5 linked regions of the Ovis aries genome follow. The protein of the gene in region 1 interacts with the protein of each later gene in a pairwise test. Links are inferred from orthologs where the notes say so. Each region holds a gene or a part of one and is shown on either strand. Other genes may lie near its edges.

Evidence for each region.
Region 2: the proteins of KLC3 (region 1) and CEP57L1 interact in binary tests that used the Homo sapiens proteins (3 or more experiments, as listed by UniProt). The two-hybrid records come from large-scale screens. The link is inferred for Ovis aries from reciprocal best matches to the Homo sapiens genes KLC3 and CEP57L1.
Region 3: the proteins of KLC3 (region 1) and TSNAX interact in binary tests that used the Homo sapiens proteins (3 or more experiments, as listed by UniProt). The two-hybrid records come from large-scale screens. The link is inferred for Ovis aries from reciprocal best matches to the Homo sapiens genes KLC3 and TSNAX.
Region 4: the proteins of KLC3 (region 1) and CCNH interact in binary tests that used the Homo sapiens proteins (3 or more experiments, as listed by UniProt). The two-hybrid records come from large-scale screens. The link is inferred for Ovis aries from reciprocal best matches to the Homo sapiens genes KLC3 and CCNH.
Region 5: the proteins of KLC3 (region 1) and BICDL2 interact in binary tests that used the Homo sapiens proteins (3 or more experiments, as listed by UniProt). The two-hybrid records come from large-scale screens. The link is inferred for Ovis aries from reciprocal best matches to the Homo sapiens genes KLC3 and BICDL2.

What each region holds. Positions count from the first base shown.
Region 1 is NC_056067.1:52,764,794-52,770,594, reverse strand, and holds the end of KLC3 (kinesin light chain 3), read right to left. Parts: intron 5,534-5,801; coding exon 5,464-5,533; intron 5,026-5,463; coding exon 4,806-5,025; intron 4,448-4,805; coding exon 4,360-4,447; intron 4,283-4,359; coding exon 4,181-4,282; intron 3,905-4,180; coding exon 3,731-3,904; intron 3,151-3,730; coding exon 3,060-3,150; intron 2,986-3,059; coding exon 2,945-2,985; intron 2,860-2,944; coding exon 2,753-2,859; intron 2,613-2,752; coding exon 2,549-2,612; intron 2,445-2,548; exon of another isoform or gene 2,299-2,444; coding exon 2,227-2,298; 3' UTR 2,074-2,226; downstream 1-2,073. Other genes in the region: ERCC2 (general transcription and DNA repair factor IIH helicase subunit XPD), read left to right, coding at 461-553, 651-723, 930-1,000, 1,093-1,236, 1,342-1,485, 1,874-1,966. UniProt on the Homo sapiens protein: Kinesin is a microtubule-associated force-producing protein that may play a role in organelle transport. Plays a role during spermiogenesis in the development of the sperm tail midpiece and in the normal function of spermatozoa.
Region 2 is NC_056061.1:28,291,863-28,298,148, reverse strand, and holds part of CEP57L1 (centrosomal protein CEP57L1), read left to right. Parts: intron 1-241; coding exon 242-358; intron 359-1,494; coding exon 1,495-1,572; intron 1,573-2,048; coding exon 2,049-2,135; intron 2,136-6,286. UniProt on the Homo sapiens protein: Centrosomal protein which may be required for microtubule attachment to centrosomes.
Region 3 is NC_056078.1:3,728,202-3,734,487, reverse strand, and holds part of TSNAX (translin-associated protein X), read right to left. Parts: intron 3,404-6,286; coding exon 3,276-3,403; intron 638-3,275; coding exon of another isoform or gene 605-637; exon of another isoform or gene 1-604.
Region 4 is NC_056058.1:84,677,190-84,683,996, forward strand, and holds the start of CCNH (cyclin-H), read right to left. Parts: upstream 4,592-6,807; 5' UTR 4,482-4,591; coding exon 4,365-4,481; intron 2,126-4,364; coding exon 2,003-2,125; intron 1-2,002. UniProt on the Homo sapiens protein: Regulates CDK7, the catalytic subunit of the CDK-activating kinase (CAK) enzymatic complex. CAK activates the cyclin-associated kinases CDK1, CDK2, CDK4 and CDK6 by threonine phosphorylation.
Region 5 is NC_056077.1:2,940,977-2,946,295, forward strand, and holds the end of BICDL2 (BICD family-like cargo adapter 2), read right to left. Parts: intron 5,113-5,319; coding exon 4,996-5,112; intron 4,887-4,995; coding exon 4,740-4,886; intron 3,887-4,739; coding exon 3,689-3,886; intron 3,571-3,688; coding exon 3,421-3,570; intron 2,978-3,420; coding exon 2,850-2,977; intron 2,692-2,849; coding exon 2,571-2,691; intron 2,486-2,570; coding exon 2,324-2,485; 3' UTR 1,991-2,323; downstream 1-1,990. Other genes in the region: THOC6 (THO complex subunit 6 homolog), read left to right, coding at 61-125, 216-319, 447-484, 567-615, 739-810, 890-992, 1,077-1,126, 1,217-1,279 and 3 more.

The sequences.
Region 1 (5,801 bases):
TGGCACAGGTGACGGGTCTCTGTTGGGGGCTGCTCTGGACCCTCCATGTTCTCTCTCTGGTCTGTCACACATCTGTCCTAGATCAGAACCACGAGTCTATTTCAGTGTCAAATGTGAACTCAAGGCAGCCTCTGATTGGCTCTGCCTGGCCTACATCAGCCTCCCCACCAATCACAAGCTGGGGGTGGAGCATCCTGATGGGTCACCCGGGCCACCTGCCTGCCCCACTTGTCCAGAAGATGGGGATTGGTTCCCTCCGGGGATCACAGGGTTTTCCAAAGAAGTGAGACTGGACCCTGCCACCACCCTCCCCTGGTCCCCAGAGGGCAGGCTGAGGCCAGGGGACAGGGTGGCCTGTCACCCCGGAGTCGGTGGCAGAGCTGAGTTTAAGCAGGACACCCCCGTCCTTGAACCCACCGTCCGCCGCCCACATCCTGACCTCCCCTTGTCCTCCCTGAAGGGCATCCTGGAGAACATCCAGAGGAACAAGCTGCTCTTCATCGAGACCCAGGATGGGGCTGAGACCAGCGTTGCCCTGGAGAAGTACCAGGAGGTGGGTACTGGGGGGACAAGGGGAGTTTGGGTGGAGAGGGGCCAGAGGCGGCACAGCTCCCTGGTGACGTGTCTGTGTCCTGGCCTTCCCTCCCCAGGCCTGTGAGAACGGCCGCGGGGCCATCCTGCTCTCAGTGGCCCGAGGCAAGGTGTCCGAGGGAATCGACTTTGGTGAGTGGACTTGGCCCTCCCTGCCCGTGTGGCCGTTTCTGTTCCCCGAGGGGACCTCACCCACCCACCCACCATCTTGCACACACAGGGGCCTCCCCTTCCCTCCATCCCTGGGCACCCAGCAGGGCCCTTGGGGACCCCCTCTGACGGCAAGAGCACCTGGGCTCCGCGCAGTCAGCCCTCTCTCGCTCCCCCTCACCCCGCAGTGCACCACTACGGGCGGGCCGTCATCATGTTCGGGGTGCCCTACGTCTACACCCAGAGCCGCATTCTCAAGGTGAGCCTCGCCGGGGACAGGCGGACGGACATGAAGGCCTCCCCTGGGGCTCGTGTGAGAAATGGCCCTGGCCCCCATCTCTGCACCCACAGGCACGGCTGGAATACCTTCGGGACCAGTTCCAGATCCGTGAAAACGACTTTCTCACCTTTGACGCCATGCGCCACGCCGCCCAGTGTGTGGGTCGGGCCATCAGAGGCAAGACGGACTATGGCCTGATGGTCTTCGCTGACAAGGTGCGGTGGGTTCGGGGCCCCCGCCACCCAGAGTGGGAGGGCCGGGCTGCGGGTGCCTGGGCCCTCCCGCCAGGGTCCTGACACCCTCACCACCACCACCACCAGCGGTTTGCTCGGGCTGACAAGCGGGGGAAGCTGCCCCGGTGGATCCAGGAGCACCTCACGGACGCCAACCTCAACCTGACCGTCGACGAGGGGGTCCAGGTCGCCAAGTACTTCCTGAGGCAGATGGCACAGCCCTTCCACCGGGTGAGCCCTCTTCTGGGAAGAGCCCTGGGCTTTCTTCCTGAGCCCCAACCCCAGCCTGCCCCAGAGGGAGGTTTGTGTGCGTGCCACCCCCCAGCCCGTGCCTGGCAGCTGGGGGAGAGCTGAGGGCTCCTGATGCCAGTGTGTCCCCAGCGGGTGCCCCGAGCTGCTCGTGGGGGCTGTGGAAGGCCAGTCCTCCCTGGCTCAGACCTGGCGCTCTGCCACCTCCCTCCCTGGGCCCGTCTTCCGTTCACAGGGACGGGATGACCCGAGTTGACTGGGCATTTCTAGTTCAAGCATCCTGTCCTGGGCCCCTGGGTGGCGCCTCCTGTCACTACTGAGCCCTGTGGGGGGATGTGGGCCAGCTGACACCCCTTCTCCTCACTCCCAGGAGGACCAGCTGGGCCTGTCCCTGCTCAGCCTGGAGCAGCTGGAGTCGGAGGAGACTCTGCGGAGGATCGAGCAGATTGCCCAGCAGCTGTAGCGCCAGGCGGGGCCGTGACACCCGAGTCTTAGCCGGCCTCGGTCCCGGTGCTCAGAGGGGCCTCCGGGAGGGGCCTGGAGGTCCCCACAGGACACCTCAGGAAGACCTTCTAGCTGCCAGATCTACAGCCTTTAATCTCAGGAGTGGAGCTCAGGGAGGCTGGAGCCGTGGGGAGCCATCAGGGAGAGGAGAGGACTCCCTCCCCTTGCCCACCCCTCCCGTTCCTCCTGAGAAGCCGCAGCCACGTGGTCCTGTCGCCTCTAGCGGGGGCCCAGGTCCTGGGTGCTGGTGCTGAGGGTCCGCGAGGCCTCGCTCAGGTGCTGCCTGGGGAACTGGGGACAGGCACGGGGCGGCTGAGGGCAGGACACAGGGCTGCCCCTGCCCAGCGGGGCTATGCTGCCAGCCCATCTTCTTGTCCCTACCCAACTCCAACTCCTCCATCCCCCTGCATCTACCCAAATAAAACCCATCGTGCTCATGTGTGGGGGTCCATTCCAATGCCAGCCTGACCAATGCCAGCTCTTTGTACAGGTCTTCCCCCAGCCTCTGGGCCTGTCCCACCCGACCCAGGGGTCCCCTCACCTGGTTCTCGGGCGCCCTCGAGCCATCCGTGTTCAGCATGCTGAGTGACATGGCCCTCTTCATCCTGCCCAGGAATGGGGCGTGGCAGTGAGTCTGGCTCCCACCCTGGGAGACTCGGGCACCGGGCCTGACAGTTTGTGTCGCAGGGGAGGCGGGAGCCAAGCACGGTCCTCAAGCAGGACAGGGGGAGAGGGGCAGACTCACCCGCTCGCCCCCGCCGCCCCCTCGCCTCGGAGCCGGGAGACCAGCTTCTCGCTTCCACGCCGGATGGACTCCCGGAGCTTAGAGAAGGAGCTGCTCCGACGAAGGGTCTGGGGAGGGCGCCGGGACGCCGGTCAGCCTCCCCTGCCACCCGGGTCGCCCTTCCCCTGGGAGCCCGCACAAAGCCCTCCTCACCTGCTGCTGTGCGTCACTAGTGGTGCCTGTGTTGGGGGCTCCTGGGGACAGATGGGGACATTGTTGGGGGGAACGCTGAGCAGCCCCCGGGGCAGGGGAGGGGCCGGGGGCTCACCGAGCGGGGCGGGCAGGGCCTCCCTGCGGAGGATCTCTTTGTACAGCTCTTCCGCCTGCTGGTACTTGTTCTGCTTCAGGTAGGCTGAGGCCTGCGGGGAGGGCATGGCCTGGGTGATCCTGGCTCATCTAAGCGCTGCACCCGGCACCTCCTTCCCGGCCCCCCAGGAAGCGGCCCGGCCTTATCCCGCACTCCAGGCCCTCAGCCCCGCAGAGTGGGCTTGGAGCTCGAGTCCACTGCTTCCCACAGGGCAGGTGCCCTGCTGGCTCTGAGCAGGGGCCTGCTCCCCAGTCTACCTTGGGCCGGCGACAGCCCTCTCTGCCTCAGTTTCCTCATCTGCACAATGGAGCAGTGGGAGCACCTCCCTCACAAGGCCCTTGAAATGGTCCAGGGAAAGTCCTGAGGAGGGGGCCTGGCTCAACAAATGCTCTCTGCTCCCGGCCAGTGTCTCCGGCTGCCTCTCTGCCTGGAGCAGTTCTCTGGCCCCCACCAACCTGCCAGTTTCCCGACCCTTCCACATCCTCTGAGCTGGCGAGCCTCACTGGTGTGGAAGCCCAGCCCCGTGGGGCACCCTCAAGGGCTGGGTAGAGATGGGGCCCCATCAAGCGATGGGTGCTCGCCCGGTGCTGGGGCCTCAAGACCGAGACCGCCACGCCCCCAGGTGCCCTCACCAAGTTGTTCTTGGTCTTGGCCACGTTGGGGTCATGGGGCCCGCCCAGGGCCTCGTAAATGCTCAGGGCCCGGGCGTAGTGCCGCTCCACCTCCTCGAACTTGCCCTGGTTCTGGCAGAGCAGGGCCAGGTTGTTGAGCTGCTTGGCCACATCCGGGTGGTCGGCGCCCAGGACCTAGGGGTCATGGGTTCACAAGTCATCTGGGGTTGGCAGGCCACGTGTTGCCAGCAGCCATCATGACGAGGCTCATGAGTTGGTAGCTGGAGTCAAGGGTGGTGAGTCAGGGGACTGGGAACTCTAGGTTCAAATTGGTTCTAGGTTCACAATATCACATGGGAAGGGCACAAAAGGTCTGGGGTCACAAAAACAAATCAGGGTCACCCAAGAGCCACAGAGTCCAGGGAAGGGCCATGTGGGGCAGGGCCCCACGGGAGCCAGGCCGGGCAGTACCTTCTCCCGGATCTCCAGGGCACGCTGGCACAGGGGCTCTGCCTCTCGGTAACGCCCGCGCTTCCCGTAGAGGACAGCCAGGTTGTTGAGGGTGGCGGCCACCTGGGGGGTTGGGAGGGGGTCAGGGGAGGGGCGCCCAGCCCACAGCCCCCCGCCCTCCCTCCCGGGCCCCCACTCACCGCAGGGTGCTCGGGGCCCAGTGTCTGCTCCCGGATCTGTAGGGCATCGTGGAGCAGGTCTGTGGCCTCTTTGTACTTGTTCTGGTCTCTGTGGAGCAGCCCCGGGGGGAGGCGGTTAGGCCTGGGGCCGGGGCCCTGGGCTGGGCTGAGCATGGGTGGCGTCCCCCAGGGGTCCCTTCTGGGTGTCCCCACCCCTCCCAGATCTAGCACAGGGTCCCTGCATGCCCGCAGGTGGGTGCCAAGCCTCTGCCGCCCCAGGCCTCCGCCCTACTCTGTTGGGGGTCTCGCCCACGCCAACTCTCTGCCCAGGTCTCTGTGGTCTCCCCAGATCTCCGTCCCCTTCCGCCCCACCCCTGCAGGTACCCTGTGCTGTAGAGCAGGACACAAGGGCCCCCCACTTCTGCCCAACAACGTCCCTCCCTCTGCCCTTCGGCGGCGGCCCCCACCGGTACACCAGCGCCAGGATGTTGAGCATGGTGGCCACGTCGGGGTGGCAGTGGCCCGAGCTCCGCTCCAGGTCCTCCAGGGCCTGGCGGCACAGCGGCACGGCCACCTCGTAGCGGCCCTGGCCCGCGTACTGGATCACCAGGTTGTGCAGGGTCCGGAGGCGGGCTGGGATCTCGTAGCCACCCTGCTGGGCTGCCGCGGCCCCCGCTGCCTCAGGACCTGGGGGTGCATGCGGGGCACCGAGTCACTGCAGGCCTCCTACTGCCCCAGCCCACACACCAGGGGACACATGCCCCCCTAAAGCCACCCCTGGTCCCTGGGACCGCAGGCCCCTGCACTGGTTCCCGAGATGGGAATCCCAGGCATCTCACTGGCCCGTAGGAGGGGGCCTGGCCTGTGGGATGGACGCGCGGGAGCCACCTGGTTCCTGGAGCTGTGGTCGCCATGACAGGCCTGGTTTCCAGCTTTTCCAGCCTCACCTGCTCTGTTACTGCCCGCCCCCCCCTCCCCCGACACACACACACAGCCACCTGCTTCACCCTCCTGACACCTGGCCCTGAGCTGCCCCATCCTCCCCAGAGACCTCGGGGTCCAGCGACTCAGATGCGCTCTCCCCAGCCTCGGCCTCCCATCCTCCATGGCTGAGGCCGCACCCACCTCTCCGCTCCTCCTCCTCACTAGGGAACAGGGAGGCCAGGCTGTCCCGGCGAGGGGGGGACTCAGGCTGCTGCAGAGAGAGGAGGAAAGTAGGGTGTCACGGGGCTTGGGAGTCTGATTCCAAGACGGGGGTCCTGAACCCCAGGGCTTGAGGGAGGTGGTGGGCAGGGGTCTCCTGAGGGCTTGGGAGCATCCTGGGGCTTTGTGGGGCAGCTGGGCGTGGGGCAGGCTTCTGAGTAAGTTCCAGTGGGTCTGGGATCTGTGGTGGGTTCTTCAGAGGTTCCAGGGGGGCCAGGGAACCTTTGAAGGCGGGGGCTCTGCAGAGGGACAAGGGGTGC
Region 2 (6,286 bases), on another chromosome or scaffold:
AGTTATATAAAGATACATAGAAGATTTTGTTCCATTGATCTGATATCTTTTTTTGCACAGTTTGTTTTTGAAAAGTATTTTCTCTTGTTTTTTTTTGCATTTAAAGCACCTAAAGTATGTGCATGTTTTTTATGTGTTTCTTACGACAATTTGTGTTGTGCTTTGAATTCTCAGAAATTGTATTATTCTTGAGCAGTCGGCTTCACTTGCCAAATTTAGGTTTTGTTTTTTTCCTTTCCAGGCCCAGCTTCAAAGGGAAAAAGAACAGGATCATATGAAGCTTCATGCAAAACTTGAAAAGCTTGATGTCTTAGAAAAAGAATGTTTTAAACTTACAACAACTCAGAAAACTGCTGAGGTAAGCTTCAACTTATTTCTTTGAAGTGGTGATACCAGGAATAAATCTTCAGTGTTCAGTGTAATTACCCTGCATATGAATATACAATAAAATTAGATTTGTAAAACTTCATTAATAGCTTTTAGTAATCCAGATATGACTTATTGCCTATAGATCACAGCATAAATGAGTTTGCTTTTTGATGTGAAATTGTAGTTTTACCTTCTTCTGCAGTGGTAGAATATTTTCATTTGTTAGGTGATTTACCTAAAGGATATTGAAAAGGTAGCCTTTCACCACTTGCAAGTAAGTTATGCCTATTCTAGATCCTATCCTGAAATGCCCTCTCCTTTTCCAAGTGAATCCCATCCATTTTGTAGGATTCTCCCATTCCTGCTTCCTCTATGAAGCCTTCCTTGAGATTTTGAACACTCAGGAAGTTCTCCCTTTGAGATAGTACTGTCTTCCTATTCCAAACTATACCATGGATATAAGATGAAATACATTTGTGTATAACGTTATACATATATATTCATGACCTGGGATCAAATCGTATTGTTTCATGTATATTAGTCTTGTTTCCCCTGTGGCTTAGATGGTAAAGAGTCTGCCTGCAGTGCAATCCCTGAGTCAGGAAGATCCCCTGGAGAAGGAAATGACAACCCACTCTGGTATTCTTACCTGGAAAATCCCATGGACAGGGGAGCGTGGCAGGCTACAGTCCATGAGGTTGCAAAGAGTCAGACATGACTGAGCGATTTCACTTTCACTGTTCCCTAAGTACAGCATAGTCTTTTATTGTAAGTTGTCTATATTTTAAATGAAACATTGAGACCCAGGACTATATAGTTTGACCTTCTAGACCTTTAAAACCTCCCAAATTTTCAGTATTATGATTTTGTTAATTAAAATTAATAGAGCCTATGCATGTAAATTCTTTACTTCTCCTTTGTCCTTCTTACATAAAGTAGGTAAAGAATCATACAAAGAAAGCTAAGGAAAACTTAGCATCTTTTGCCATTCCTTTTTCTTACTTTCTGCTTTAATTTACCAAACTATTAAGAATCAAGACGCTGAGGGCTCTATTTGGAAAAGGAATAAAAGATATTTAGCTCTAGTTTTTGTAAAATAATCCCAGTTTTTCAATTCTTTTGTAGGACAAGATTAAACATTTAGAGGAAAAACTAAAGGAAGAAGAACATCAGCGTAAACTCTTTCAAGATAAAGCTTCTCAGGTAAACAGAAAACTGTATTATCTGGCACTTTAAAATCACATATGTTTTATTATACTTTATTAACTGAAACCTTACCCTGGACTCTAATTTCTGCTTCCTAACTTATCAGTTTTGTCTTTTTTTGCTATAATAATGAAATTTCAGTAAGTCAGCAAGTATATTCATAGACTCGGATGTATTGCCAAAGATCTTTTGGTCTTCTGAAATTCTGAGAAACATACATATATTCTCAGTTGAAAGAACTCATGCTATCAATTGTTTTCAGTTTGAGATATATAAAATAACTCATTCTGTTATAAACAGAAAATGATTGTAATTACCAGTAGACTTGGTGACTTTAACACAAAAAAAATAATATTTGGGATTTTCTTCTTCAAAAAACATTTTTATATCAATCTCATTATAATGTTTTTGAAGAAAAAGAAATTTGTTAAAAGTCAAGTAATAGTAAAGGTTTTTTTTTTTCACTATTATAGCTTCAAACTGGACTTGAAATCAGTAGAATTTTAATGTCTTCAGTAACAAATCCAAGGCACTTCAAGGAAAAGAAGAAATCTTCAAAGGTATGCAAATACTTTATTCTTATTTGCTAGTGCTTATTTCTTCATCCTTTTAGTAATTATACCTGTGCATTTTAAAAAAAGAATTTGAAAATATTTATAATATAAGACATGAAATAATTCTATGAAATGGACCTAAAAACATAAGTCAAGTAATGATGGTTTGGGGTATGAGGACAGAAAATTCCATAAAACCTAGGTTGAAGAAAGTAGCAGCATTTGAGCACAAAACCTAGCTCTGAGTTTGCTTGACACCCAAAGCAAAAAGAGACATATAATGGGCAATACATCTAAATTTGTGAAATAACAATAAGCATTCTAATTTTTCTAGAAAGGTAAACATATTGCTAGTACTAAATGTTAAAGAAATGTATTTTGGATACTTTTTAAAAGAAGCACTAAACAATACAATAGATACAACACAATAGATTCTGGAAGCAGTTTTATATAATACATGCACAATAAAAAGACAAGATATACTATTAAATTATATTGTATTATAAATTATAATATTAAATTATAATTATAGTCATTTCTCTAGAGAAATTATTTACTTTTTTATGCTAATATCCTTAGGACTTGCCTAAAGATTGGGGAATGAGTGCTTTATAGCTTTACCAATAATAATTTTCTTGATAAATTGATGTTTTGAATTTATTATATTAAACTTTTTTATTTATAATGGTAAAGAAAATGTTAGTCCCTTTTAATCTTATGATTCTGAAATTATAGTTTTGATGACCATTATTACTATTTATTCAATATGCATGTAGTGTTTCTGTGTGCTATTTGCTGTACAAACCGAGCATGCTATTTGTGAGTTCTGGCCACTGCCATAGGTTCACCCTGTGGATACAATAATGGAGGAAACAGTATACTTAACTTTAGCTAGTTGTTTATTCCATAAATAAGAATTCAGGGGAAAAAAAAGAGAATTCAGTAGTTTGGCTGCATTTTTCACAGATTAGTTTCTTTCAAAGAATTTGCAAACTATAGTAATGAAGACTATTTTCCCAATGCCGTTTATATTGATTTTTTTAGTTTATTTCCTTCCTTAAGTATGTTTTGTGTCTTATCTCCACAGTAAGATTAGAAGCTGCAAAGCCAAATAGAGAATCACTATAAGTAATTTATACAAGTGGAAAAATACTGACTTATTTTTGTAGTTATGTTTTATGACATCCTTTGAAGATCTGGTGGAAAAGATTTTTTTAATAAGGTACAGGGAAAAACAAGGTAAAAGAAATGAAGGAAAGAAAAGGTAGCTCCTGGAAGAAAAGAAAAAATAATTGACAGCAAAACCACTTTATAAAAGCAGTTAGCTTAAGTTCCAAGTTCATAGATCTGTAAGTAATAATGCCTCCTTTTAAAGGTAACAGGAGCACTGTTGCTAAAGGTAGTATCTGAGTTTTTTTAAGAGACCTCTGTGAGATTCCTGCTTGTCTCACTGACACTTACTCCATATCCTGGACATAGTTCATTCAACTCATATGTCTTGATTTACATAGATTAGTACCTTTAGGTATTAAAAAGATAACACAGGAATTTACAGAGAAGCAGACAAAAATACAAATATAAGACAGAGTGTGCTAAAAACCTAATAAAACTATAAACAAAGTATTCTGGTGCTGTACACATAAAAAATATGTGAAAAGATCACACAAGAAGTAGTAAAGGCAGACTTGGAAAATGAGTAAGTATTGATAGAGATGAGGCGAGGTGTGTTATAGTCTGAGAGTATAGTTAATTTTTACATGAAACTGTAAATAATTGTCTAGTACTAGTACCATATGAGACCTGAAAATATAGCCTGAAGTGAGATTATGACTGATCTTCAGTGCCATGTTAAGAATTTGAACTTTTGTTCTATAAATCATTGCAAACCATTGAAGGCTTATAGAGACATGATTAGAGCTATACTTCTAGACAGTTACCAACAACAGCATAAGGTGAGCTTGGAAGTAAAGAATCAGACTGTTTGAATATTGTAAGCAAGATAATGGAAGCCTGTCCTGTGAGGTTTTCATTATTCTTTTGAAAGGATAGATTGTAATTATCAGTCAGAAATCTCATTCAGTATAACAACTAAAAAAAATTACATTTCTTTTGTTCTAATTTAACTGCTTAAAATAGACTTTGATCAGACCATCATTTTCTATTACTTGAAATTATCACTCCTAAGGTACAGAGCTTGAATGATTGTCCAGGATCACCAGGAAAATCTGAGTGAATAAGTACTGACTCACAAATGTGTGATATCTCTACCTCTAAGCCATTTAATTTTTTTAATTTAAAAAAATTAATGTTTATGATAGTTAAGATACCTAAATTTTCCTTTAAAATTGGGAATATTTTGTTTTCTTTTTATTATGGAATATGCTCAGCTTATTGATTATTCTCTTGCTAAAGTGTTAAATAGAGTGACCAAGTCACTCCAGTTTGCCTATGACTGTACTGGTTTTAGTACTGAAGATCCTGTATCATGGGCAGATTGAGACAATTGGTCACCCTAGTTCAATCCATCCGACAAAAATAGTGAAATCATTTACTTTTAAGAATGTAGCTTCAGTTCAGTTCAGTTCAGTCGATCAGTCATGTCCGACTCTTTGCGACCTTAGCAGTGTCTTTTTAAAAATGATTCACGAAGGAGTACATATTGATTTGGCCAAAGAGTTCGTTTGGGTTTTTCCATAAAATGTTACTGAAAAACCTGAAGAAACTTCTTGGCCAACCTAATATAATAAAAAATGTCTGCTCAAAGGATAATAATGACATTAACACTGGTACTCACCACACAGCTCAAGAAATAGAACATTACCAGCACTGTTAAGGCCCAGTGTGTACCTTTCTTAAATTGTATTCCCTCCATCCAAGGAGTAACCACAATTCTGATTTTGTTTTTATCATTCTCCTGGTTTTTAAAAAAAATTACTTTGCCAAATAAGCATTTATAAGAAATATATTTGTTAGGTTTACACTTGAACTTTATATAAATGGGCTTACTGTATTTGTGTTCTTCAGCAGCTGTCTTTTTCCACTCAACATTAAGTTTATGAGATTCTTCCAACTGATGCATATATGAATGGTTCACTGCTTTTTATTGCTAAAAATTTCTTTTTCCCTTCTCCTTTCAGTGATCATTTGGTTTGTTTCTCACTTTTTGTTATTATAAACAACACTGTTATGAACATTCTTGTACATGCCTCATGGTATAAGTGTTCAGGAGTTTCTCTGAGATACTGGGCCATAAGTGTCATGCACCTTAGCTTTATAAGATATTGTTCAAAGTGACTGGACCAGTTTATGTTCCAATCAGCAGTTACCATTGTTCCATATCCTAACCATGTGTCTTTTTTTGTTTGTTTTTTGTTTTTCACTTTTTATTTTGAAAAATTGTAGAGGTGATTTAAAAAAAATATAAAGGGAGGTACAGTGTATCTTTCGGAGAAGGCAATGGCAACCCACTCCAGTACTCTTGCCTGGAAAATCCCATGGACGGAGGAGCCTGGTGGGCTACAGTCCATGGGGTCACTACAAGTCGGACACAACTGAGCGACTTCACTTTCACTTTTATGCATCAGAGAAGGAAATGGCAACCCACTCTTGTGTTCTTGCCTGGAGAATCCCAGGGGCGGCAGAGCCTGGTCGGCTGCTATCCGTGGGATCTCATAGAGTCAGACATGACTGAAGAGACTTAGCAGCAGCAGCAGCAGCAGCAGCATATATCTTTAATAAGCTTCCCCCAGTGGTAACATCTTTCATAAATATAATAAAGTCTAGGAAATTGAAATTGGTATAATACACAGAGCTTAGGGAGATTTCAACAGTTGTGTGATCATATACAGTTTTATCACATGTGTAGATTCTTGTAACCATCACCACTATGAAGATACAGAAAGAACTATTCCACTACTATAAAGTTCCTTCATGTTATCCCTTTATAGTTACACATCATCCTCCCTAACCCTTACTGCTGCTAAGTCACTTCAGTCGTGTCTGCTCTGTGCGACCCCATAGACGGCAGCCCACCAGGCTCCCCCATCCCTGGGATTCTCCAAGCAAGAACACTGGAGTGGGCTGCCATTTCCTTCTCCAATGTATGAAAGTGAAAAGTGAAAGTGAAGTCGCTCAGTCGTGTCCGACTCTTGGCGACC
Region 3 (6,286 bases), on another chromosome or scaffold:
CGCTCAGCACTGACCATCATGATCTAACACTCTCTTGCTATATCCTCCTCAGTTTCCTCAGACTCCTATCTTTCTACTGCACCTGCCCAGCAAAAACACACCCTGAATCAGTATTAAAAACTATTCTTGTTAGTTCTTTATTCAAGTACTGAGTACCACTAGGCTAAAAAATAATAATAATGATCACAACTGTATAGCGTTTGTACCACTACAAATTACTCACCAATCCTTTCACTTATTTCGTAGATGGCTCTCGCCCGTCTCTTTGGACACTATTTCAAACCTTCACTACTTTTCTCCTCAGCCCCTTACTCAATCCCAAACCTCTTCACTCTCAGTAAACAATCTTGCCTCCTTTCACTGGCTTGGTTATTTGCCAGATCCCCTGCCATAAGCTCTCTTAATTACCTTATCCCTAAAAACAAAACGAAACAAAACAAAAAAACTTATTTATGTCCACATCCATCTTTACCTTCTATCCTTCAGTCTCAGATGATGAGTTGTCCCTCCTCTTGTTTGAGGTTAACTCTTCCAAATGACCTTGACCCATCTCCTCCCACCTCTTCCAGGACCTTGCTTCATAAGGTGTATGCCCTTGGGCAAGTTATTTCATCTCTCTAAACCTCAGTTTCCTCATCTGTAAAATGGGATAACAGTACCTACCTCAGAGGTTTATTTTTAAGGATGAGATAACATTTACCAAGTTCTTGGCATAGTGCCCAACACAAAGTAAATACTCAATAAATGTTAGCTGCTATCACCATTACCGTCACCACACCAATCTCCTCTCTCCACATCAACTTCTCTCTAACGGGTTCTTTCTGAAAGAGGAGATGTCTGAACTGTTATTGAAAGTCTGATGAGACTTAGGTGGGCTGCAATTACACTGAAGGACATTTCAGGCAGAAGGAACTGCAACAGAATGCAGATGAGAATTGTGCTGTGTACTTGAGGAACTAGTGCGGTATTTCTTTAGAGTAAAATTTCAAGTAAGAAGTAGTATGGGATGAGTCTAGAAAGCCAGAACAAGGGATAGAGCAAGGGGAGAAAGCCACAGTAAGAAACTGGAACTTTACCTACAGGTAATAGAGACATTGAGAATTAAGTGAGCAAATGACAGAGTCAAACTTAGGTCTTATAGATGATCTGGTGGCTTTGTATCCAGGACATGACTCCTAACACTGTTGGACTTTTCAGAGACCATATGTTCCAATCTTCTCAATATGGAATATGAGAAATGAGGTCCCAGAAACACTGCAGGTAGTATCACTAGTTAATGGTTAGAACTTGGTAAGTATCCAAAGTCAGCTCCCCAATTAGCCTGACCTGCTATATTTCATTTCTATTAACTGTTAAGAGAACTGACATCTTTTTGGAAAGAATAGATTATGGTGGGAGTGGTGGGGGGGTGGGGAAGTGGCTGGTGTATTTATAAGTCATTTATACAAATAATTTTTGCTTAAGAAAACATTACTGCTCTTTGTTTCCATCATTAGAAGGAGTTCCCTGAATATAACTACAAAGTTACTTTGAAGAAAAAAGCATGTTAAAAAAATCAACAAACTGTCAAGGAAATAAATTCTGCTTTACTGATAATATATATTAGAAACCAGGGAAAATAAAATTACTTAAAATGCAATTTTTCACAATGGACTTGAAGTATTTAGGGGAAAACTATCAGGATACCTATATCTTAAACTAATTGAGCAAAAAACATTTAGATGAAGCAAATAAGACAAAATATTAACAATTATTGACTCCAGATCATGTATTACTATTCTCTCCACTTTTCTTGTGCATTTGAATTTTTCCGAATAAGTTTTAAAGAATTAAATGGTTTGACACTACTCTCAATATGCAAGTCAGAGCAAAATACCTTCCCTTATTGGATTTCCAGAATTTTTAGCACCAAGATGAATCTCTAGCACTGAAAGGAAATATTATTTATGAATGTGGTCTTAACATTTTGAGAAGACACGTGTATGATTATGACATCCTAATCTTAGAATAATTTACTACATAAATCCTCAGAACAGAGCATTTACTCCCATTTCTCTTTACTTTCTTGCCCTTGATACTTCCATTCTGAATTACAGAGAATCGAAAGGAAAGTATCATAATTTGCCTAATATATTTAAGAAGCAGGGTCACATAGGCGCCCCTTACTTCTTTCTGTAATTCAATCTTTACTAAATGAACTAAAAATATGAAAGAATTTTACTTCTCAAGATGAATTTCCTCAATAAAATTCACTTAATTTTTAAAATTGAGAAAATATATGGTTTCCTTGACGTAAGCTACACCTGTCATGCCAACTTATCTCACTTTTTAGTATTAATATTTTATTAACATTCAAGAAAATATGATTTCCATACCTTCTTCCACTTTCTGCCTACCTGATTTTTTAAAATAATAATGAAAGAGAAACTGGTGAAAAATAAAGAAAAGAAAAAAAACTGTTTAACTGTACCTTTAAGTGTATTAATATCTTAGGAGACTATCTAATACTCAAAATTTTATCTCATGGCCTGAATATTATATCTTGAAACTCAGGGGAAAAAAACAGTACTTGTTTAAAAGTTGAATTACACTATTTCAGATACAAGCATTATGAACTCAGTGATTAAATCAACATCTCTCACTGTATCATATTACATTGGCCCTTATAATGACTGCTAACTACTGAGCACCTATGTGGCATGTACTGTATGCTACCTAATTTAAAGTCTCTAACTCAAATCCTTTAAAACACCCCTTTGAGGTAGATGCCTGGCACAGGGCCCCGTGGCCCATGGCGAGAAACACTGGGAGAGTGGCGAGGGCGCTCCTGGCTTTGGGTTCAGGACACCTGGCTCCCAAGTCAGCTGCACACGTGCGTGACTAGGGCTTGAAAAGTCACTTGGACTCTGCAAAAGCCGTATGTGAAATGAGGGTAGTAATTCTTACCTCGTAAGTTTAATAAAAGGATTGAATGAGACAGTATTTATACAGGGCACTGGCAGATACACAGGAAACTAAGAGTGGGCTTACACAAGGGCCGCTCCACAATGCTCACATAAACGGGTGCTGCTCCCCCCACCTACCCACAGGTGCTGAGCCACTAACTAATGCATTTAGAAAGACCATTTCCCTAGTTGGGAATCTATGAAATCACACTTTAGAAAGAACATTTTCATCTCAATATTCTTTGCATTATAAGCCAATGAATCTCCTACAATCATCACGCTGCTGTGTAAACTATGTAATAAATGTGAAATATGATTTTAAATTCTTACAGTCTTATTTTCTTTCCCATTGTCTTCTGTTGAAAAAATCAACTGTTTATTAATTTCATCCATACTGATAAGTGATCGTGTTTTGATGAAGTGTTGAAAAGAGACAGCCTCCACATATTCCTGCAGTCCTGAAAAACCAACAGGAAAATTACTCAGGAACAACCACTAAATTAGTAAGAATGTCACAGTAATGAACTTCAAACTAATCATCATCTAGCTCAACAAAAGCTTGACGGTTATCTATTCCATCAGCCCTAGATTCGACTCTGAGAACACACCACCTGGGGATAGCTGGTGGGGACTGGCACTGCACACAGCAAACATTCCTGTGACTGAACTTAAGATGGCTCACACAGAAATGTGTTCAGAGTCTTCCTTGTATTTCATGAGTCCATTAGTCTTAAAAATCTATCCTCTCCTATAGAGAAATGGCAAAGATTTCAAGAAAAATACTTTTTCTAAAGAATTTAAGAAAGGGCTATTACCAAAATTCTGGTAGGTTTTAACAGAATTTATACAGGTTAGTTTTTGTTCCCTTAAGCAGCAAAAATAGACAATCATATGAGATAAAATTAAAAGATAATTTGGCTCTTCCTTAAAATGTTCCTAGGTCAAAAACCCAAAACACTGTAAATAATGAAGGTTAAAGTGTCAAAATTCAAAATAACATTTTCCTCATACTTCAAATTAAATCCTTTCTGCTTCAGTAGTTGAATTTTTTTTTTTAAAGCTAATGAGTAATAATACCAGTTGCATCGGATGTAAATCCTACAGAGTCCACTCTGAATTAGAGGTCAGTAAAGGTCAAAAATACTGCTATACTTTTTCAAGTGTTTTAAAACAACCAAATTCTATACCCATACTTTTCAGCATTATTTTATTATGTCTTCATCTATAAGGTAATACAGGGGAAAAAGTGTTTCTTAAAATTATTATCATTACTGTCAGTTTAAGAAACTTGGTCTTCTTTTTGAAGGCTTTATTGTAAAAAATAGGAAGAGGAAAATAAGTTCAGAAATAAAAGTCGGACACAACTTAGCGACTGAACAACAATGCACTTTCTGTTTCCTGTTTGGACACTGATGACTACAATAGGAACTTAAGAAAAATAAATACTGGTACTCTATCTCCTTCACCCCTAGTACTCCTATAGACAGGTGTTCCATCGTGACAGGCCAGCCAAGGTGCCTGTCCTCAGGATCAAGATGCAGTCCTAGCAGGACCCTTAACACAGATGCTTCCTTCCTTATTTGAGGTTTTCCACTTGATGTTCTTTACTGGATGCCGTCAACATTTACACTCACTCAGATCTCTCCCATCCACAGGCCATATCTTTCCTCCCAACTGTTGCCCGATATCTCTACTCCCCTCCACAGTTAAATTTCTTAAAGTAGCTTCTTAATAACCACATCTCACACTTCTCAGCCTACTTCATCCCAGCTTGAGCACATCTCTAGGCCAAAACAGCTCTAACTTAAAATTACGCCAGTCAATGAATCTAATGGGCACTTTTTCAGTCTTAATTATGTAGCAGCACTCAGCACTTTGACCACTTTTCCCCTCGCTTAAACAAGCTTCCCGTTGGCCCCTTCTACGGCATCTTTTCCTAGTTCCCCTTTTTTCTACCTCTCTAGCCATGTCTTCTTAGTCTCTGCCAGTCCTAGGCTCTCAAATTACCTATGCTAAGTCACTTCAGTCGTGTCTGTCTCTATGTGACCCCACAGACAGCAGCCCACCAGGCTCTGCCGTCCCTGGGATTCTCCAGGCAAGAACACTAGAGAGGGTTGCCATTTCCTTCTCCAACAAATTACCTATACTCGGCTTCAATTAATGCTGCCATCTCCCAACTTTACATCTCTGGTTTAGAACCACATACATCCAAACGCATATTTGACAATCCCATCAGAGGGACTTCAAAAATCAACATAATCAACAATGAATTCACAATATTCCTTCTAAACCTAGCCATCTTTGTTTTGCCAATTCTAAGAGGATCCTGGCCTTACCGTCATCTATTTTTCCCCCTTTCTCATCCATTCTCACACCACAGACTTTTTAATAGTCTTGTAAATAGTCTCTTTTTTGCCTATTTAGTAACTATAATTAATACCAGTTTAATAATAATGACCACATCACCACCCTGCTTAAAGCCTAAATAGCTTTCCATGGCTCTTAGAATACAGAGGAAAATCATTAACATGGTTGATAAGCACCTGCTTAATTTCAACCCCCATTTACATCAACTCATGCTATGGGCAGGTAGTTATACATTTATATAGCATATAACTATACTCATGTAGTTATACATTTCAAAGATGGATATGTAAATCCATACAAATCCTTTAACAAAAGTACAGTTTGAGTAACACTCTCTGAATTTTCCTACTTCTTCAGTATTTCTAGGCATAATCTTGCCCCCAAATTCCTAAAGCTGGCTTACATTTCAGGGCCATGTTGAACAAAATAGTATTTTAAATGCTGCAAATAACAAGCAGCAAAGTTCTTGTCATGTAAGATTCTATCAGTTGAAGGTGGTGCAAGCAAGCTTCCTTGGGGCTTTATGCTTAAGGCTCAATGATTTCATCAAGCAAGTGTTATCTCAGTTTAATGGGTATAAGCCAGTGTAAGCCGAAGGATGACTTTATCTACACACCTATAATCTCAAGCTGATTTGACAGACAGGGTACAAATTCCAGTGTGTAGTTCAAGGCAGAGGAAATCAGTCAGAAGAGAGGTTATCACTTACACTGAACCAGTCTCTTCTCTGCTCTCTCACGGTAACACTATGGTCATCTGGTGCTCAGGCCAAACACCTGTTAAATGTGGGTGTGAAAGTACTCTCAAGATGTGATTAACATTTAAATCAAGACTCTGGGTAAAGCAGATAACCCTCCAAAATGGTGAGGGGTGGCGGTGGAGGGAACACCCATCCAACCAGCTGAAGACCTTAAGAACAAAGCATGAGGATTGCCAACTAAGTAATTCTGCCCAAAACTATGGTAGAGAAATGC
Region 4 (6,807 bases), on another chromosome or scaffold:
AACCAAAACTACAATGAGGTACTACTTCACACACATCAGAATGGCCAAATTTTACAAACAATCCATGCTAGAGAGGGTGTGGAGAAAAGGGAACCCTCCTACACTGCAGCGGAGAATGTAAAATGGTACAGACACAATGGAGAACAGTATGGACAGCTCTTAAAAAACTAAAACCCGAGCTACCATATGATAAACAATCCCACTCCTGGGCACGTATCTGGAGAAAACCATACTTCAAAGATACATACACCCCAATGTTCACTGCAGCACTATTTACAACAGTTAAGATATGGGAGCAATCCAAATGTCCATCAACAGAGGAATTTAAAAAGAATATGTGGTACACATATACAGTGGAATATAACTCAGCCATAGCCAGGTGGCTCAGTGGTAAAGAACCCGCCTGACAATGCAGGAGGCATAAGAGACATAAGTGATATAAGAGAAGTGAAGTGAAGTGAAGCCTCTGTCGTGTCCGACTCTTTGCGACCCCATGGACTGTAGCCTACCAGGCTTCTCTGTCCAGGGGATCCTCCAGCCAAGAATACTGGAGTGGGTTGCCATTTCCTTCTCCAGGAGATCTTCCTGAACCAGGGATTGAACCTGGGTCTTCCACATAGTAGGCAGATGCTTTACTGTCTGAGCCACCAGGGAAGTGAGTTGGGTCACTTCTTCGGTCAGGAAGAGGCACTGGAGAAGAAAATGGCAACCCACTCCAGTATTCTTGCCTGGAAAATTCCATGGACAGAGGAGCCTGGCGGACTATAGTCCACATGGTCACAAAAGAGTTGCACATGACTTAGCAACTAAACAAAAACCAAATATTCCATTTATAGCAACATGAATGGACCTAAAGATTAACATACTAAGTGAAGTCAGAGAAAGACAAATATCATATGATATCACTTCTACGTGGAATCTAAAAAATTACACAAATGAACTTATTTACAAAACAGAAACAGACTCACAGACTTAGAAAACAACCTTCTGATTAAGAGAGGGGAAAGGTGGGGAATGAGGGATAAACTAAGTTAGGATTAAAGTATACACACTACTGTATGTAGATAAACAATAAGGACCTACTGTATAACACAGGAAACTTGAGTTAATACTCTGTGATAACCTACATGGGAAAAGAATGTGAAAAAGAATAGATATATGTATGCTGCTGCTGCTGCTAAGTCGCTTCAGTCGTCTCCGACTCTGTGCGACCCCATAGACGGCAGTCCACCAGGCTCCCCTGTCCCTGGGATTCTCCAGGCAAGAACACTGGAGTGGGTTGCCACTTCCTTCTTTGATGTGTGAAAGTAAAAAGTGAAAGTGAAGTCGCTCAGTCGTGTCCGACTCCTCGTGACCCCATAGATGGCAGCCTACCAGGCTCCCCCGTCCCTGGGATTTTCCAGGCAAGAGTACTGGGGTGGGTTGCCATTGCCTTCTCCAAGATATATGTATAACTAAATCACTTTGCTGAAACGTAACACTGTAATCAAATATACTCCAATTAAAAAAGAAAGAGGATAGAAACAATTACAGAGACAGCATATACAAATCCATATAGCCAAAAAGTTTTAACCACCTGTTTTTCCTCAACAATACCCTATCACAGTACAAACACACAGAAATACACAAGCACATACACAAACATCCGAATCAAAGACATGGGAACCCAGAGGGAAAGTAATTTTTTTCTTTCCCTATAAAATGAGAATGTCATGACATATCCAGCAGACCTCAAAATTCTTTTGATATGAAATGATTTTTGAAACATTGTGTAAGATACAATGTAAGAATTCATAATTTAATGAGTTTGTTGAAAAATATGTGACAAAACAAATATTGATGCATAAATTATATATATAACTAAGGTGCATTTTTGAGTAAAGTGGATAGAGAATTGAGGTAAATATTTATAAGTGGTTATAAGCTACCTTGTAAGATTAATCTTTATAAACTCTTGTAAGTTAGCTACAGGACTTTATACTTCATTACTACTAAAACTTACCACAACAGATCTTGGCATTGCTGGCTTAAACACGGAACAGAATTCCAATAATCTTTTCTCATAATATTTGCAGAGCGTTATTTCTTCATGAGGCTCAAGAAAGACTGGGTCATTTGGAAGAACCTTTAGATCAAAAGTTAGAACAAAAATAAATATCTAATAAATTAGATAATATTTCTCTGCGCAGATTTAATTAAGCTTTTATCTCTAACCAAAGGGAAATGTACCTCATTTTTTTAAAATAGAATTGCTGCTGCTGCTAAGTCACTTCAGTCTTGAACGACTCTGGGCGACCCCACAGACGGCAGCCAACCAGGCTCCCCTGTCCCTGGGATTCTCCAGGCAAGAACACTGAAGTGGGTTGCCATTTCCTTCTCCAATAGAATTGCTGCTGCTGCTGCGAGGTAGCTTCAGTCGTGTCCAACTCTGCGACCCCATAGATGGCAGCCCACCAGGCTCCCCCTTCCCTAGGATTCTCCAGGCAAGAACACTGGAGTGGGTTGCCACTTCCTTCTCCAATGCATGAAAGAGAAAAGTGAAAGTGAAGTCGCTCAGTTGTGTCCGACTCTTAGGGACCCCATGGACTGCAGCCCACTAGGCTCCTGTGTCTAATATTACACAAAAATAAGTTTTAAAAATAGTCAGTAAACTATAAACTGTGCCACAACTGCATAACTTCTCAGAATGTCAGCTGAATATTTGCTTCACTAAGGTATAAGCAAATGTGGGGAGCGTGTGTATACATTCACAAGTTTGATGTCACTTTTACACATCAAAAGGAAGAAACCATCAATGGTTGGAGAACTTTCAATAGTCCTTTCTCAGTTATTGAGTCACAGAGGTTGAAGTAAAAATCAAGTGTCTCAAGGATAATTCTGACCCTTAACATATTACCTCTTCTGCATCTCTACAAAATTTCTACAAAATACACTGTAGGGTTAATAAATGCTACAATTTTACTACAAAAATATCTATTTGGTGCCACTACTGGTTTAATTACAACTGCCAAAAAAAGGTATGTTGAGTCCTAACCCCAGTACCTCAGAATGTGAGAAAATAAGGTCTTTGCAGATACAATTAGTTAAGATGAGGTCCTACTGAAGTAGAAGTGGCTTCTAATCCAGTATGACTGGTAGCTTTGTAAGAAGAACATATAAAGAGACACAGGGAGAACACTCTGGAACAAGCAGGTAGAGGCTGGAGTTGGCTGCCACAAGTGGAAAAGACACCTGGGGTTACCAGAAGCTGAAGAGGAAAGGGTCTCGAAGTTGCAGAGAGCACTACTCCACAAACACCTTGGTCTCACACTTCTCGACTCCAGAACTCAATAAATCTCTGCTGTGTTAAGTAACCTAGTGTATGGCATTGTGGCCGGCCTAGGAAACTACCACAGGTGAGGCTCATTTTATAGAGACAGCATGGCATTGCGATTCACAGGAGGACAGCTGAAACGAGAGTCCATGGGTTCAAATCCTGGCTCTGCCACTTACTAGCGATATAGCCTGAGAAGTTATTCAACCTCTCTGTACTTCAGTGTCCTCAGATGTAATGCAAGGATAATAACAGTATCTACCTCATGGGGTAGTTGTGAGGGTTATATGAGCTAACAGTTGCCAAATATTGAAAATTTAGCAAACGAAGTACTAGTCTGTACAGCACAAAAAATAAAATGATATGAAGTAAACGTTACAGGTAAAAGTAAAGCTGGAAGGGCGTGACTGACAGACTCTAGTCCAAACCTTCTGTGGTCAATTGGTTTGTGCTAACGGTGTCTCATCCCCCTTCCTCTGCCCTGCCCCATCCAATCAATCCATTCCTTCCCAGAAAGCTCTTTCTAGAACAGAATCTGACAAGATTAATTTCCCATTTAGAATCTTTCTAAGCTTTCCCATCTGTCCATCACAGAGTTCAAACTACTTACTTCCGCTTACAAGTTCCCTGCCTGCGTTCTCCAGCCTTTCAAACACTGCTTCCGCCACACACGATCGAGAGCGTTCCAGAGACCAGCTCTGCGATTTCTGAACTCCTTTGCACCTGTGGCTCTGTCCGCTGGGAAAGTCCTTTCCCCATCTTCTCCACACCAGCCACTAAGAGAAACCTACCCCCGGTACATTAGCATCCTACAAAGTGTCTTCTTGGCCTTGTTACTGACTATACAGTCCGCCGCTCGACTGCGGGGATGGACGGCCTTGTCCGTCTCCTTACCCACTGTACCTGGCAAGGTGCTCGCTGTTGATTAGATGGATAAACGCACTCGGCGCCGAGGAGGCGGGAGGGAGGTGTGGGGTAAGTCCTGGGGGAGGGGGGGACAGGCAAGAGTTTACAGAGCCCGAGGCCGAAGGGCGGCAGCCCGAGCCCTCACCTTCCCGTTCGCCACCGCTTTGCATTTGAATTTGCGGTTGGCGTCGGCCCGCAACCGCGCCAGCTGCTCCTCGCTGGCGAAAGTCCAGTGCCTCTTCTGGCTACTGTTGTGGTACATCGGGAAATCGGAGGCGAGGCCCAGCGAGTCTCGGGAGAGAAGACCGAGAACTGTACAAACCCTGACGTAAAGCACCTAAGACGCCTCCAGGATCCCGCGGAACCCAAGTCGGGACAGCCCGGCGCGGGGGCGATGACGTCAACCTCACGTGGTAGTTCCGTCCCCAGTCGCGTTTCCGGAGCGGATTGGGAGGAGAATGGCTCCGGGCTGCTCCGGACGGCGCCTGCGACTTAAGTGGGCGTGACCCACAGAAGCCGCTCCTCCTTTCCGAGAGCCTGGGCCCTAGCTCCGCCCCTTCCCGACAAGATTTAAAGGAGAAGCGAGGCGGAGGGCTGTTCAAAAGGGAACTATCAATAAATGTAGGGCTTGTGGAGGCTAACCTGAACAATTTAACGTGGGACGATCAGAAGTGAGGAAAGGACTTGGGAGGGTATCAACTTTTAAATAGGATGGTTCAGAGGAGGCCTCAGTAAAAAGGTGACATTCTGAGCAAAGTTTTGAAAGAGTTGGGTGGGGCTAACAATTACATGGGTATGACATGGGGGCAGATCAGATTGAACAGCCAAGATCGCAAAGCAGAAGCATTCTTGGTTCTTTTAAGAAAGTATCTCTGGAGCGGTACCAAATTCTTGGCTTCAGAGAGACAGGAACATGGTTGGAAAACTAGAAGCAGTGCGTAGGTATTGCTCTTTACTATTCTGACCCTAAATATGTCCCTGTCTTATTCTTCCTGCAGTGAATACCTAGTTTCTCTAAAACAGAATACTACTAAAGGACAAGAAGAAAGAGCATTTAAAAAATATCCTCAATCTAAATTTAACTCTCCCAAAATTCAAACACTTTTTCTTTTATATTTTAGGACTATTGAAAATTAAGATGTAAAGACAATATATTGTGGAGCAAATTCTAAAAATCCATGTTCAATTCAAAATGTCATATTAAATCACTGTACTGAAGATTTGATACTAATTGTTAGGTGGTGGTGATGATGGCAATGGGGACACAAAAATGGCTATTTCACAGTCCTACCTCAGGGTCCTTAGAGTATAGTAGAATGATTATGACATGGACAAATACTGTCCCTTCTCAATGATAATAACTTTGAGTAGGGTCCAGTAGGGAACTAGGTAATATCTCTTATTCCTGAGTGCTGATACCTCTTACTAGTGTAGATACTACCCTTTAGTGACTTGAAACCAATGGAAGACCCATAGTTCATTCAGCCCCAACTAGGGACCATTCAGTCCAAAAGGCTTAGCAGCTTTTCTGCTAACTAGGAGTATGTCATCAACATAAAGGTAATTCCTGTGGCTTTAAAAAAAATTACTGTTAATTCTTCCCAAAACAAATTAACAGAGTTGGCCTCTGTTACAATCATGATTGGGACTAATCTGTCACTACCTTATCCTTTTATTATACTAATTAATCAAGAGTGAATAGAATTATTATATAAAGTATCATATGGTCACTTCCAACACAATTTTACAGCAATTTACTAAGATGGAATACTAGACCACCTTACCTGCTTCCTGAGAAATCTGTATACAGGTCAAGAAGCAACAGTTAAAACTAGACATGGAACAACAGACTGATTCTAAATTAGAAAAGGAGTATGTCAAGGCTGTATACTGTCACCCTGCTAATTTAACTTCTATGCAGAGTACATCATGCAAAATGCCAGACTAGATGAAGCACAAGGTAGAATCAAGATTGCTGGGAGAAATATCAATAACCTCAGATATGCAGATGACACCATCCTTATGGCAGAAAGCAAAGAAGAACTAAAGACCCTCTTGATGAAAATCAAACAGGAGAGTGAAAAAGTTGGTTTAAAGCTCAACATTCAGAAAACTAAGATCATGGCATCCAGTCCCATCACTTCATGTCAAATAGGGGAAACAGTGGAAAAAGTGAGAGACTTTATTTTGGGGGGGCTCCAAAATCACTGCAGATGGTAACTGCAGCCATGAAATTAAAAGACACTTGCTCATTGGAAGAAAAGCTATGACCAACCTAGACAGCATATTAAAAAGCAGATATTACTTTGCCAACAAAAGTTCATCTAGTCAAAGCTATGGTTTTTCCAGTAGTCATGTATGGATGTGAGAGTTGGACTATAAACAAAGCTGAGCACCAAAGAATTAGTGCTTTTGAACTGTGGTGCTGGAGAAGACTCCTGCTAGTCCATTTGACAGCAAGGAGATCAAACCAGTCAATCCTAAAGGAAATTATTCCTGAATATTCACTGAAAGGGCTGATGCTGAAACTGAAACTCCAATACTTTGGCCACCTGATGTGAAGAACTGACTCATTGGAAAAGATCCTG
Region 5 (5,319 bases), on another chromosome or scaffold:
CTCTGGGGGGCTAATGCCCCCTTCTTCTGACACTCAGGCCCCTCTCCCCTTTCCCTTCAGCTTGTCTGCTGCTTTGAGCTCCGAGGCCAAAGAGGAAAGTAAGAAGCCCATGGTGACCTTCCATGGTGGGTGCAGACGTTGAGTCTGGCTTGGGGGACCCCAGGGTGGATGACAGGAGCAGGACGAGGTCACTCAGGTTCTGTGCTTCCATTTAGCCCATGATGGGCCCGTCTACAGCATGGTCTCCACTGATCGACATCTGCTGAGTGCTGGTGATGGGGAGGTGAAGGCCTGGCTTTGGGCGGAGATCCTTAAGAAGGTGAGTGTGGAGCTGGGGGAAGGGTGAGGTACCCAGACACAGAGAGCCTTTGAGGCCACCCAGTGCATGGGGTCACAGAGTCTAACACAATTCAGCGATTGTACAACAAGCATTTCTCTCCACGAAGGGCTGTAAGGAGCTGTGGCGTCGTCAGCCCCCATACAGGTGAGCCAGGCCCTGTGAGCAGAGGGCACCTGGGGGTGAAGGTGCCACCTCACCAGAGTTGACTCTGCTTTCCTTTCCCCAGGACCAGCCTGGAAGTACCTGAGATCAATGCTCTGCTTCTCGTGCCCAAGGTTCGAGCCCTTCGTAAATTCAGGGCTCTTCCCTGTCCTGTTTTTGGCCCAGATTTTGATCCTTCCCCTCTCCGTGGCCTGACTTGACCCTGACTTCTGACTCCATCCCACCTTCCTCTGCAGGAGAATTTGCTCATCCTGGCGGGGGGAGACTGTCAGCTGCATGCAATGGACCTTGAGACAGGGACCTTCATGGTGAGAGAGCAGGGCCAGGGGAGCAGGGGCAACGGCATTCCTCCCGGGTCTTGTCCTGACACTACCTCTCTCCCTGCAGTGGGCCCTCCGGGGCCACACGGACTACATCCACTGCTTGGCACTGCGGGAGCGGAGCCCTGAGGTGCTGTCGGGCGGCGAGGATGGGGCCGTGCGGCTTTGGGGTAAGGAGTGTCACATCGGAGGGAAGGCTGGTGGTGAGGGAGCCTGAGGCGAGGAGGATACCTCTCGAGGTTCTTCCTCTGCAGACCTGCGCACAGCCAAGGAGGTCCAGACAGTCGAGGTCTATAAGCACGAGGTGAGGGCACACCCCACGTTCTGTCCTCCCTCCTTCCTTCCTGGGCATCCCCGGTGTCTTCACCTTCCGCTCTGTTCTCCCCCCTCCCAGGAGTGCTCGAGGCCCCACAATGGGCGCTGGATCGGATGTTTGGCAACTGACTCGGACTGGATGGTGAGCCAGGCAGCGTGCAGGCTGGGGTGGCAGCTCGGGCCCTGTCTGGCTGAGGGCCCATGGCTCACGGTAACTTGGGACCCCCAACTTCCTGCCCAGGTCTGCGGAGGAGGCCCAGCACTCACCCTCTGGCACCTCCGATCCTCCACACCCACCACCGTCTTCCCCATGCGGGCGCCACAGAAGCACGTCACCTTCTACCAGGACCTGGTGAGGCCCTCTGTCTTGTTTCTGCTGTCCCTGCCGCGCTCCCCCTCCAGGCCTGAACTCTGAGCTCCCTCCCTGTCTTCCACAGATTCTATCAGCTGGACAGGGCCGCTGTGTCAACCAGTGGCAGCTGAGTGGGGAGCTCAAGGCCCAAGTGCCTGGCTCCTCCCCGGGACTGCTAAGCCTCAGCCTCAACCAGCAACCAGCAGCCCCTGAGTGCAAGGTGGGTCCGGCCAGGGGTGGTGGGGACCCTGGGAGGCCAGGGCGTTGGGGCAGGTCAGTCACTCCCCTCTTGTTTCTAGGTCCTGACAGCAGCAGGCAACAGCTGCAGGGTGGATGTCTTCACTAATCTGGGCTACCGAGCTTTCTCTCTGTCCTTCTGACCTCCAACAGTGTCTCCACCTCCATCTGAGGAGTTCACAGTGTTTTCTTCTTTTTTTATACAAATAAAATTAGTGTTTTGTTTTTTTTTAATGTGCTTTCTTACCAAGAATGGAGGCCAAGTCAGTGTAATGATTTATATATTACTCTGTCTGATGTTGATACATAAATACCCACCCCCATCCCCGACCCACAGCTGAGGGCCAGGGGGCTTAATGCCTAGAAAAGATAGATTTATATAGATTTGATAAACAGCTCTGCCACACATGCCCCTGCCACCCGTCTGGGGTCTCTGGACCCCAAAGCTGGCCCCTGCTCCCAGTGAGCCCTTGCCCAGCCTCCAAGGGAGGGGAGGGCACCAGCCGCCTTTGGCAGACAGTCGGGACACATCGCTCTGTTGGCCAGAAAAGAAAAGTGAGCCAAGAGGGCAAAGCCAGCCCTGCCTGTTCCCGGCGCTCAGGTCCTTCGGAAGAGGGTGCTGAAGAAGCCGCCGGCGGGCCCGGGGCTCAGGCGCAGGGAGAAGCGCGTTGGGGCGGGGCGCGGGGCGGAGGCGGCAGCACTCAGCTCTTGCTGGCGTTGCGAGCGCAGCTGCTGGCCGATGACCACCTGCATGTCGTCCTGTGGGCGGGCCGGCGGGGCGGGTCAGCGTTCGGCCCCGCCCCACCGGCTCCTCCCCGTCGGCCCCGTGCGCCCCGCCCCTCACCTGCCAGGCCTCCAGCTCTTGCGTCAGCGCCACCTTCTGGCGGATGGTGCGAAGCAGCTCCCGGGAGAGGGAGTCCCGCTCCAGAGAAACGCGGCTGAGCTCCAGGGACAGTTCCAGGACCCTGCAGGCGAGGGGCAAAGAGCAGGTCCGAGGACGCTGGGGCTTCAGCGTGCAGGGGTGATGGGGGCTCCTGGACCCAGGCGGGAGTCAGACCACTAATACGAAACCAGGGAAGTCAGAGGGCCCCCGGGGCGGTGGTGAATGGTTGCAGATGCTTACTTGTTCATGGCCTCGTCTCGGTCTGAGAGGGCGCTGCTTAAGGCCTCCTCGGGGTCCTGCACCCGCAGTGCCTTCTGCCTTTGCAGTTCCTCCCGCAGGGACTGTAGCTCTGCCTGCTGCAGTGCCATCTGCGGGCAGGGCAAAGTCCAGAAGAGGCAGTTAGGCCCCTGGGTGTCCCAGCGCTTGCTCTTCCAGGCAGTCTAGACTCATTCGCTGCCTTCGCGCACCTCCCACCTCCCATCTCCACCTGCTCCACAAACAACCCTGACAGCTAATGGTCCTGTGCTGGAGATGAATCTTCTGAGTGCCTAGCGGGGTGGGGTGGGTCGGGGTTAGATGGATGGTCTAAGCCTGCAGGAAGGATGCATGGAGGAGATGGGACTTAAGGGGGAGTGTAGTTCAGGAAGTCTTCCTGGAGGTGACATACAGGCTGGCTGTTGAAACTTGATGGCAAGTTTGTGAAGGGGTATCCAAGTAGAGAGGGATTCGTGGGCAAAGCCTTGGCAGTATAGATGGGAAAGAGAAACTGACATTGAGAGGAGCTTTGCATCCAATACTATGCTTCCCTCACCTCAACCTGTAACCGGACCACTTCCTCCTCCTCTTCTCCCAATATCTCCTCTGGGCTCAGGGATGCTCCCTTCCTGGGAGGCTCCAACCTCTCCTCTTGGGGCGAACACTGCTGGCTGGATGCTTCTTGGGTCTCCGGGGATAGAGTGGTCTGTCCACCAAAGAAATCGATCAGGGCAGTGTCAAACCTTCTAGGGATAAAAAAGGAGGGGCGGAGTCTGCAGCCCTCCGGGATGGTGAGTGTGGAGCCTGGTGGGCCGAGAGCTCACCAGAGCACCTCCGCTTCTGTCCGTGTTCTGGTTTTGGTCCTGGTCGCTGTCTAGGCTGTGGGCGAGCTCTAACTGCAGCGAGGCTCCCGAGAGGTCGGCGTCCTGGAGGCGCGACTCCTCCTCCAGCTCCGAGACACGCTGCTGCAGCCTCCGCAGCGCGCTCAGCGCCTCCTCCGTCTCGGACCTCGCGCGTTCCAGCTGTGGCAGCAGAGCGAAACAGTGAGCGTCAGACGGATGCCCCCACCGCCGGCCGACAGGGGGCGCCAGCGCGCCGCAGGAGTCAGGCATCCGCGCGCGTCCGCCCCGCCCAGCGCCGAAGTTGGCTCTCGCTCCCACAGCGCGGGGCGGCCGTGGGACCCGCAGTACCCCTCGGCAGATGCCACTTGCCTCACCTACAGAGCAGGGCCCCGACGAGCACCCAGATTTCAAAGTCTCCAGTCACCCTCCAGTCCCGCCCCATCCGATCACTGGAAAAGCCCCGCCCCGTCCCTGACCCGGCAGGCCCACCTTCTTACTAAAGTTGTCACTCGGCCCTGACTGATCCTCTCTTCTCAGCCAGGCGACCTGCTGAACGTCTCACACCCTTCCCGCAGCCATGCAGCATTACCACCCATCTCACAGATGGGGAAACTGAGGCTGGTGTCCCACAATAGTAGGGAGGGACCCTGGGATAAGAAACCCAGTAATCTGACCTCAAAGCAAGCGCAAGCTCCTAAGATCTCAAACATCAAGGCATACTGCCTCCTTCCATTTTCTTTCCTCTGTTTTCACACCCAGACCTGGTCCAGGTCCCCATCACCTCCGATGGTGAGCTCTCGCCTCGGCCCCATCCCTGGCCTCCAGTTGCTGGTCTCTGATGCATCCTAGAACCACCAGCCCGACTCAGTCTCTCTGTGGCTCCCACTTGCCCTTGTGCTAATGCCTTTGCCCTTCTGGCCTGGCTGCTAGGGCTCCCAGTGACCCAGCTCTGGGGTCTTCTCCCAGGAGGCCCCGAGGCAGTGATCCAGGCCCTCAGCCTGACGCGCCCACCCACCCCAGCCCTGCCAGTCACCTCCAGACCGTGCTCCCGCCTCTCCCGCCGCAGCAGCAGCAGCTCCTCATGGGTGGCCTGCAGCCTGCCCCGTCCCTTCTCCAGCTCCTCACGCAGACCTCGAATCTGGGCTTCCAGGTCCTGCCGGCGACTCTGGAGCATCTGATTCTGGGGAAAAGCACATCAGGGCCCAGCCTTGCCCTCCTTGTGGGGGCCTACACAGCCCCCACACCAGCCTTCCCCACTTAACAGACCCCCGGCCCCAACTGGCACTCACCTCCCCCTGCAGACTCTCCAGCCGCGTCCTCAGCTCTGCCCCAGCCAGGGCCTGAGCCTGGCACTGCCCTTGAAGGCTGTCCAGTTCCCGCTGAAGCTCCTGCTCAGTCTGTGAGGCCTGGGAATGGGGTTGGGGATCAGAGTCCTCAGCTGGCCCACACTGCAACAGGCCCAGCACTCCCATCCCCAGACGTCCACCCCTCCTTGCTGGGAGACCCAGGGTCAGGGCCATCCAGCCTGGGCCAGCGCAACCACCGCCACCAGGACTCGGCCCAGCGCGCCCACCCCCACCAGGACAGGGCGTACGCCCCCTCCTTGCCAAGGG